Callithrix jacchus: one gene and its partner. The protein of the gene in region 1 purifies or fractionates together with the protein of each later gene. This does not show direct contact. Links are inferred from orthologs where the notes say so. Each region holds a gene or a part of one and is shown on either strand. Other genes may lie near its edges.

Region 1 (5,095 bases):
GTCCAGGTACTCAGGTGGCTGAGGCAGAAGAATTGCTTGAACCTAGGCGGTGATTCCCATGAGTGAGCTCAAGCCACTGCACTCCAGAACAAGACTCTGCCTCAAAAAAAAAAAAAAAAAAGAATATACGAATTTTGCTCAAACCAGTTTTATAATTTAAGGCAACATTGATTCTATGAAATAAAGAAGACTTGTTGAATATCTAGTTATCAAGTTAGTTACTTAGCTCACTTTTTCTTATCAGACAGGTACATCTACATTTCTAGAGGCCAATTTAGGGCAAAAAAAAAATTTACACATATACAAAGCACAGTAATTTCCAACATGTATACATAGTGTTATAGTATTTTAGTTGGGATTGTAAACGCAGAAAGAAAACTCTTCAATTTCATACTCTAGAAAGCTGGGATGGGTATTAAAATTGGGAGAAAGGGAGGACTGTCATCCTACATGAGGTTTTAGAATACTGCCAATAAAGGTCATTTTAATCATGTTTTTTTTACTATAGAAATAAAGTTAGGTAATCAGAGTGTTAGCACACTTACAAAACTGCTAACATTTGTCAGACGTTGACATAACTTTTCTGCGTTTCTTGCAAGCTGAGAGCTTAACCAACAAAACCCAAGCCCTAATTTTAAATAAGATAGTTGGCTAGGCTCAATGGCTCACACCTGTAATCCCTACCACTTTGGAGCCTGCAGTGGGAGGGCTGTTTGAGCCCAGGATTTGGAGGCCAGCCTGGGCAACATAGTAAGACTCTAACTCTACAAAAAATTTAAAAATTAGCCAGGCGTGGTGTGTGCCTGTGATTGCAGCCACTCGGGAGGTTGAAGTGGGAGAATCGCTTGAACCTGGGAAGTTAAGGCTACTGTGATCTGTGATCATGCCACTTACACTTCAGCCTGAGTGACAAGGCAAGACCCAGTCTCAAAAAACAAAAAGCTTAATAAACAGAAAGACAATATAGCTAAAGAGTAATCAACTTGCTCCAAACTGGATTACAGCTCCCGGTTCTCCGTATCAAACCACCATCAAGTATGTTTTTCCCCATTCTTCTAAACTTTTATTCTCATCACTCACGGATTTATCCACTCTACTCCAGTACATAATGTCCAAGGATACGAATACAGAGTTTACTGTACCATGTATGTGTGTAAGCTGTGTTCTTATTTCCCTGACCACTTTGTTGACAGCATTTGCTGAGGGATGAGTAGCAGTTTGCTATGCAGACCAGGAAAGAGAGAAGAGCAGACTATATTCTAGGCATATTTCTCCCACTATACATAGAGTGGCCCTTCTTTTCATTCTGTGCCTTCAATCTCATCTGTCCCCCAAGCACTGATTAAAATTTAACTTCCATGAAGCCTTCTAAAACTGATCCCAACCAAATCCAGAAATTTCAACACATTATTTCACATTATTATTAAAAACTAAATCATGCTATATAAATGTTGAATCTCTGCCAACAATCACTGGCTTCTTTGCAAATTTTGAGAGAGAACATTCAGTGTTAATTATCATCTTAAAATTTATGCTTCTCTAAAGGTTTATCTTGTCTACGCTGTGTAGTGAAAAACCCCACGAGGACAAAATTCCGATTTTCATTTCCAAAATGCCAAAACAAATTGTTTTCTTCATACAGTGTATTGACTGATAGTCAAACCTGAAAATTTCTAAAAATTCTTAGATAAGAAACAGGATATGGGAGACAGAATTACCTATCTAGCAGTAACAAGGTATATTGACTTTATAAGCTATCACGGCAGGTTCAAGAATGTCTCCGTGGGTTTAAATATTATAACCACTTGACCATTATATTCCTACGTAACAAAATACTGACATATTTAGAAGGTAACGTAAGTGCTCACCTGTCCTTGGGGAAAGGGTTTACTTTGCAGGCTTCCAGCAAAAATTTAACAACTTCAACATGACCTATACCGTCCCACCCCAGAAAAAGAAAAGCAGATTTTAGTACAATGTAGAAATTAAATGTGGAAAGAAAAGAGATGAGTAGTTTCTGTGTTACCCTCTGCAGCAGCTACATGGAGTGCTGTTCTGGAATCATAGTCCCGCTGTTCCATGTCCATAGCCGACAAAGCAAATCTGAAAATTGTAAGAACAGCTGTTCACCGTGGATTTTTAGAAAACAAATTTAACATTCACTGCATCAGTCATCTAAGGCCCTGTCAGACAGGTGCCCCATCTTTCATCAGGTTCATTGATGGGAACTACAGACCTTACGACCAGTACACAGGTGTTTTGGGTAAATGCCACTTCACCTCTCTTCCTCAGCTTTGCTTTTTTAGGTAAGATTTAAATGTTAACTACCTCTCACAAAATTGAGCTTTATTACATTATTGTTCAAAAATCAAGATTTGTGCCACAACTGGACCAAGGTTTATATCTCAGAATGGCAAGAAACTAATCACTATAATAAAGTTGTATGTTTTTACTAAGACTCCCATTCTTGAACATTTCACAGTCTACAAGTATATTAGTCAGACTTTAAAACAAGGAGGGGATGCATAGACAGTTTTCCACTTTGAAAATCAGCTGTTAAGAGGCCTTAATGGGAGCAAAAAGAAAAGGAAAGAGAAAATCAGTTACAGCTCTACACAAAAGGCCTTAAGTGTACAGCAGTGTATGGCCTTGCTAATGCTGGTATGGCCTTGCTAATGCAAGACACAACACGCCCCAGTTGCTTCTCCCCACCCCGCCCCCACACACACACCAAAGATGGGGAATGGAGGGAGAAGACATCATCCAATTCCAGTAAGCCACTGATAGTAATCAGCCAGATTCGCTGAACAGTCACTACTTGAGGAAACAGAGATACTGTCTTTTTTTCAGGAGGCAGAAAAGGACAAGATTGGACAGCAGGCCTGAGGCACTGGAAGTGCTGATATAATAAAAATTTTGTTGGGGTCATTTTTATTAAAGGGAAAAAGAAGTGAGGCTTTAACCTTAAAATGGCTGCCGGCCTGGAAGCAACTTCATAAGATATCTGTAAAGTGCATGCTAATCCATCCTGTAAACATACCTTCGAAGTGCAGACACATCTCCAGTATATGCAGCAAACAAAAGATTTATCACTGACTTTACCTGTGAAGAAAAGAAAGTTTAGGTATCCATAGGGCAAAACACATACAACGGCGACCTGTCACTGATAAGTGATTTTTATGTGCTTTGAACACTTCAGTTGAGTCATGTGCAAAAAGTTATCTCAAGTACACTTCTATAGCCAAAGAATGCACGAGTGGTATTTTCTTCTTTTAACAGTGGATTGCGAGGGAAAATTCAAGAATAAAGATACATGAGGGAAGGAATGGAATAATATTAATTGGCACAAAAGTGGAATTTTGTGAAACTTGTATCATTGGAGCAACTGAAAACTGTTTAGAAGCCTTCCCGTTCTGTATCTCTCAATATTGTGAGCAAGTTTGTATGCTGATAAAATTCACATTATTAAAAACTAAATCATGCTGTATAAATGTCTAATCCCTGCCAACAATCTCTGTCCTCAACAATCACTGGCTTCTTCGTCAATCTTTAGAGAGAACATTCAGTGTTAATTATCATCTTAAACTTTACTTCACTGGAAAGATAGCCTTTAGTTCAATGCCCAGGTGGTACAAATTGGGTTATTCCCAGAACTTACGACACTGATCTGTTTAAAAGGCTTCTAAACTCCAAAAATATTAAGTCATCTCTATTACCTGCTCCAAGATTTCAGTGTATCTACTTTTGACAGTTACCCACTTTCCTTTTCTTACAGGTAAGAGGAAAAGACTAGTTATCTGAAAAGCCACTGGATTTTGATCTGCTGTCATAAAGACTTTATCCATCCCTATCTATGAGAAATTAAACTATTGGTCATAGAATATTTGTAAATACTTCATAAATTCCCCATTTTCTCTTATACTTTGCAACTTTGACATTCATATTGATGACTCAACTGATACTGGACTCAATGGTAGAAAACAGAAGTTTAACTGGAGGAATGGAAAGTAATCCAGCTCTCCATCAACAAAACCACAGCCTGAACTGTGCTTCAAGACCTTAACCTGGACACTCTTTTCACCATGGCCTCCCCCTTCCACAACCCATGAACTTTCCAAATTAACTGGAACTGACCATTGCTGCAGTTCTCTCATTCAGCATTTTCAAAGTGTAATCTCCAGAAACTAGCCCACAAAATGGTCCACGAAAATAAGGGTCCTGTGGTTGGATATGATCTTAAAATGTTAAATCCCTCTCTTGGAGATTCATGAGCATATGAAAGGCTCTGTCAAGGTCTACAGTAAAGGAACCTAACTAGCTGAGCATACCCCCAAAATACTACTATTACTATTTGTGTTGATATAAAAAAACCTTAACCCCTTACTCCTTCAGTGCTTTAGCTTCCCTTCCAGCCATCCTTTCCTACTCCTGCCCAGCCTGTACCTATAGTTAGTCCCTACAGTCCAGAACAGTTTTCTCAATGGGGAATGGGGGTGGAGCAAAGAACTAAAAAGCATCACCCAGAATGTTCTAAAAGCATACATAAACATCTCTCCCATTTCTTGTTGTCCTACTCCTATACCTCAATTTGATACATTTTAGGGAAAGGAAGTAAATGCATAGAGTTTCTTTTTAATAGAGATGGGGTCTCACCATGTTGGCCAGGCTGGTCTTGAACTCCTGGCCTTAAGCAGTCCTTCTGCCTTAGCCTCCCAAATTGTTGGGATTATAGGCATGATAATGCCCAGCCAAAATTTTGTTTAAAGTCTCCTGGTGACTTTGATATGCAAACTCTTCTGGGTTATGACCCATTGTTTCCCTTAAGATCTTTCTTTTTTAATGGGGTCAATTCTGAATTCTCAATTCCCTTTTTTCTCTTGGGTCACAGAATACTGACTGGCTATTAGAGATTATCCTCCATATTTCCACCTGGTCTCTCATTACTGTTTGACAGTTTTTCTTCTTGGTTCCCGCCATACTTTCTTCAGTCCTTTAATATCAATGGAGACCCCTAGAAACAGAAGATCCTAACTACAACTTTGCTGAAAAGATAAAAAGCTGTTTTCAACTCTCAAAGCAAAGGCTTCCTCATTTC
Region 2 (5,095 bases), on another chromosome or scaffold:
AAAAAGCCAGCAAAGTATTAACATACACATTATAACCACTTTTTAGAAGGCAGCGATGTGGATTAAATGCTCTGAAAAGTCCTGCAGCAAAGCAAACCTATTTTAACTTGGTTTAGTCTAATATTTCCATATTTATTTGAGTGCCTAACATGTTTTTTTCAAGTAATGTCCATCAATGTCACATTAAATTAATGTTCTATGGAATATTTTTAGAAGTGCTGTTTTATTTTACTTTAAAAAACAAAACTCTACTCCGGCCAGGTGTGGTAGCTCACACCTATAATCCCAGCACTTTGGGAGGCTGAGGTGGGCAGATCACCTGAGGTCAAGGGCTTGAGACCAGCCTGGCCAACATGGTGAAACCTCGTCTCTACTTAAAAACACAAAAATAAGCCGGGCATGGTGGGGTGCCCCTGTAATCCCAGCTACTCAGGAGGCTGAGGCAGGAGAATCGCTTGAACCCAGGAGGTGGAGGTTGCAGTGAGACAATATCGTACCACTGCACTCCAGCCTGGGGGACAGAGTGAGACTTCATCTCAAAAAAAAAAAAAAAACCTCTAGCACTTTGGGAGGCTGAGGCGGGTGGATCACGAGGTCGAGAGATCGAGACCATCCTGGTCAACATGGTGAAACCCCGCCTCTACTAAAAATACAAAAAAATTAGCTGGGCATGGTGGCGCGTGCCTGTAATCCCCACTACTCAGGAGGCTGAGGCAGGAGAATTGCCTGAACCCAGGACGCAGAAGTTGCGGTGAGCCGAGATCGCGCCATTGCACTCCAGCCTGGGTAACAAGAGCAAAAACTCTATCTCAAAAAAAAAAAAAAAAACCCTCTAATCCAATTATAGATTATGGAAGTGCTGTTTTAATGTCTGGTTTTGAAAAATTGGCATAAAAATCTTCCTTTTTTTATTTTAATCTACGAACATTCTGTCTAGTCCTGTAACGTCTCCTATTCAGGTCCTTTGGCTTAATCGTGCCAGTGATGTTACTTGACCAGGCACAGGTCAGCGCCTGTGCTTTCTGTGCACTGCTTAACCAGCTGTCGCACAACAGCTTCAGAAACTTCCCCGACCTCAAATGAACCCGCCAGAACACAAAGCAAAAAGGGGTTGGAGAGAAATCATTCTTTTCATCCTGACTTGGTTCATCCTTTGCGCTTTCACTTTTGGTCTCAGAGGTCAAGGCTAGTTTTTACGTCTGTGCACTTGGTTTAGGAGGCATCTTGCCAAATGCATGTTTAGGTTTCGATGTCTATTTTTTTTTGTAACCTGGAACACTAGTACAAATCAGAGTTTTTTACCTACCGGGGAAGTTTCTCAACTGGGATGTTGGCATCTTGAGTTCCAGGTTCTGGAGCACTGAAGTAAATCATATTAGACAAGAAAGATTGTTATTGGCATAATCAAAAAATAAAGAAATAAAGTAACTCAGTTTGTATATTTGCCTGGCAATATGTGATATAAAACTCCTAAGTAATACATGCTCACTTGGAAGGACATTAGAAGGAAGGTCCCCAAGCCATTAATTTCCAGTGGTGCTGGGCATAGAGGCTCATGCCTAGAATCCCAGCACTTTAGGAGGCTAAAGTGGGAAGACTGCTTGAGGCCAGAAGTTCAAGACCAGCCTGGGCAACATAGTGAGACTCCGTCTCTACCAGAAATACAAAAATTGGCTCAGTGTGGTGGTGCGTGCCAGTAGTCCCAGCTACTTGGGAGGCTAAGGCAGGAGGATTGCTTGAGCCCACGAGGTAGAGGCTGCAGTAAGCTGTGATTGTACCACTGTATTCTAGCCTGGGAAACAGAGCAAGAGTCTGTCTCAGAAAAAAAAAAAAATCACCAGTGGTTGTCCTGCAAGTGAGGGAATGCATGTGTGGGGAGGGCTAGAGTGGCTGGGTGTACTCAGGGAGCTTCACGTTGACCTTCACACATCACCATCGTTTGTATCCTCAATCACATCATACAGTCATACACAGTTTACACTATTTTAAAATGACTCAGTGGAATTTTCTCAATATTGGGTCTACCCTCAATTTTTTTCCTCATTGTAATAATAGCACATGTTCATCATAGAAATGTAAGAAAATTCAGAAAAATATAAAGAAATTAAAAATTACCCATAATCCCACCACTCCTGATATTCCTTATTAACATTTTGTTGTATTTTAACTATATACACATATACAAACTCATTGTGTGTATGTGTGAGAGAAAGAGAGAGAGAGAGAGAGAGAGAGAGAGTGTGTGTGTGTGTGTATGTGTGTGTGTGTTTTAATACAAAGCTAGGATCATATTATACAAGTTCAGGACCCTGTGGTTTTCACTTAACACTGTAAGTTGTGAGCAAAATATTTCTTTTATCACATGGCTATATTTAGTCTTTTTTGTTTTTTGTTTTTTGAGACAGAATCTCCCTCTGTCACCCAGGCTGTAGTCCAGTGGCAAGATCTCGGCTCACTGCAGCCTCAACTTCCCAGGCTCAAATAACCCAACCACCTCAGCTTCCTTAGTAGCTGGGACTACAGGCATGTGCCACCACACCCAGTTAATTTTTGTATTTTTTTTTTTTTTTTTGGTAGAGACAGGTGTCTCACTATGTTGCCCAGGCTGGTCCTGAACTCCTGAACTCAAGCAATCCTCACACCTTGGCCTCCCAAAGTTCTGGGATTACAGGCATAAGCCACTGCATCCAGCCTTGTATTTAGTCTTATTTCTCATAAATACCCATGGGAATCTTTGGTAAATGTTCAATTTCCTCACATTTATATTCAACCTAAAGGAGAAAACAACATATACTTATTCTATAGTGTGGTATAATTACCCTCTTCCTGATAAAGCTGGACAAATTGGACTCCTGTAATTCTCAGCCACAACTCCACAAGAGGTACATCGAGTTTTAAATAAGCTACCTGAAAAATACATATGAAGCAAGTCCAGAATTTAGGATAATCAAGAGCAACTGTCTCCGTGTCTAAAAGGGACATACTTTATTTCATTTTTGGTCTTATCCAGTTACCCAGGCTGGAGTGTAGTAGTACGATCACAGCTCACTGCAGCTTCCAGCTCCTGGGCTCAAGCAATCCTCCCACCTTGCCTCCTGAGTAGCTGGGACTATAGGTGTGCACTGCCCCACTGAGACATACTTCAGTTTAGCAAATGGGCCTCCCCTAGCTTTCACGGGAAACAGAGAGGCATGCAGTACTCTTAAGCCAGTCAAGAGCATATGCCCTCAAGGACTTTATAATCTGGAGGATAAATAGCTATCTCCCTGACTAATGTGCGGCCGGATGACCTTGGAGTGGCGTTCAAGTGGGCAGAAGTGGCCAACAGGGTAGAGGGAGCTTGACCTAAATCTAAGGGCATAATTTACTGATATGACTGATAAAGTTTCAATGGTGTGGGGTATGTTTACAAAATCTTAACTTTGATTTCAGAAAGCCTGAATCTTTTATACAAAAGCAGATCAATAAATAAGTAATCAACTAATAAATGAAAAAAGTAATTGTTAATACTAGCCACCACTTATTGAACTGAAGCTATCATGGTGGCCACAGTTTGTGAAATGGTGGCCAGGCACCGGGTGCCATGCAGAGCACTTTAAACCACAGAGGGCATGCACTGCTCTGTTCTGCCCACCAGTCCTTCCTTGGGGAGTACCATCCCTGCTCTCTCCCATGCTGAGCCAATCGGGCTGTGGGTCACATCCCAAATACAAGCTTGACCACATGCTCCACACAGGTCCCATGTGGTGGCCATCCCTTTGCAGTCTCATTTGGTCAGAAGGGTGGGTGTGCGGACCAAGAAAGCCCACCCAGAGGTTTATTTTCTGAGCAGTTGGCTGAGCTGGAGAGCCTGAAACCAGAGGCCCTCTCCCCTGGCACGTGGAGGCAAATCAGTTGCAGAGGGAAAAGGGAGGTCACCTCAAAGAGAGAGCAAAGCTGAGAGAAGGAGTGGGAAAGAGGCCAGAAGAAAAGATGACATCAGCTGCACCCCAAGGCCCCTCAGTTTTGTGAGCCAATAAACCTATTTTGTCAGTTTTACTGTGGACATTTTTTTCCCATTTTCACATCTCTGAAATTCAGATGTCCTACCGTTTACTGGCCAGATGAGAGTGTGACCTCACCAACATGCTTGCACAGACTTGTTGAAGGAGAACACTGAAAAGTGGGGTGACTTGGTTGTTATTCTCCGTGGCCTGACCGGGCAGATACAACCTCTGGATACTTCCACCAACAAACCATTCAAGGGCCACTTCCGGGAGGAAAGCAAGTTCTGGCTGTGTCTACAGCCTTTCCACTGACACCGTTTGGTAAGAGCATGAAAGGCTCAATAGCGCACCTGTGGAGTGTGTGTCAGAAGCTTGGATGAGAATCCCAGCTGTAACAGAGGGGCATTCTCTCAAGAAAGGCTGCATCATCCATCTCCTGAGGTACAGAGCGTGAAACTGCATGGAAAACACAGACCCATCCATGCTCTGAGTCACTCAGAATCACTCAGAAGAGCTAGATAATGAGAAATATTTGGACCATGCTCATGCTTTATGTATGCCTGGAAAGATAAAATTTCTAAAGAAGGTGTCTCAGTTTTAATAAGCTCTTTCTCTAAGTATAAAATAACAATTCTAAGGAATAATAACAGTATATCATGGTTTAGGCAGATTATATTCTAAGTGCCACATTAAAAACATGATGCATCTTAAAAAAAAACCTTCATCAGACAGAAGATGCCACTGATTTTTTTTTAACCTAGGTTGGAAGAGAGTTCTCATCTTTTGAAACTAAAAAAAAAAAGTCCTAACACATATATATGTATGATCTTATTTAACCTTCACAACGATTCTGTAAAATAGGCATTGTCATCTCCATTTTATGCCGATGACTAGCCCACATTCTGACATTGCAGGGAAATGAGCAGAGGCATGTGGAAAGCGGCTCAGACCCAGCAGATGCAGGTACCGAAAAGTTGTTCGGTTAATAGGTGGCTGACTGTTCCAGGCACACAAAAGAGAAACAGGGTCGAAGTGAGTAGTGTCTCCCTGTCTTTATCAGGGTGACCTAAGTAAAAGGAGGTAGCTTCACCACACACACCCAAAATCAA

What was found.
Region 2: the proteins of GLS (region 1) and SIRT5 purify together in Homo sapiens (affinity purification with western blotting; 3 studies listed by BioGRID and IntAct, with this or other methods). This does not show direct contact. The link is inferred for Callithrix jacchus from reciprocal best matches to the Homo sapiens genes GLS and SIRT5.

Annotation. Positions count from the first base shown.
Region 1 is NC_133507.1:37,843,974-37,849,068, forward strand, and holds part of GLS (glutaminase kidney isoform, mitochondrial), read right to left. Parts: intron 3,103-5,095; coding exon 3,041-3,102; intron 2,104-3,040; coding exon 2,027-2,103; intron 1,933-2,026; coding exon 1,869-1,932; intron 1-1,868. UniProt on the Homo sapiens protein: Catalyzes the first reaction in the primary pathway for the renal catabolism of glutamine. Plays a role in maintaining acid-base homeostasis. Regulates the levels of the neurotransmitter glutamate, the main excitatory neurotransmitter in the brain.
Region 2 is NC_133505.1:17,071,979-17,077,073, forward strand, and holds part of SIRT5 (NAD-dependent protein deacylase sirtuin-5, mitochondrial), read right to left. Parts: intron 2,908-5,095; coding exon 2,820-2,907; intron 1,361-2,819; coding exon 1,307-1,360; intron 205-1,306; exon of another isoform or gene 1-204. UniProt on the Homo sapiens protein: NAD-dependent lysine demalonylase, desuccinylase and deglutarylase that specifically removes malonyl, succinyl and glutaryl groups on target proteins.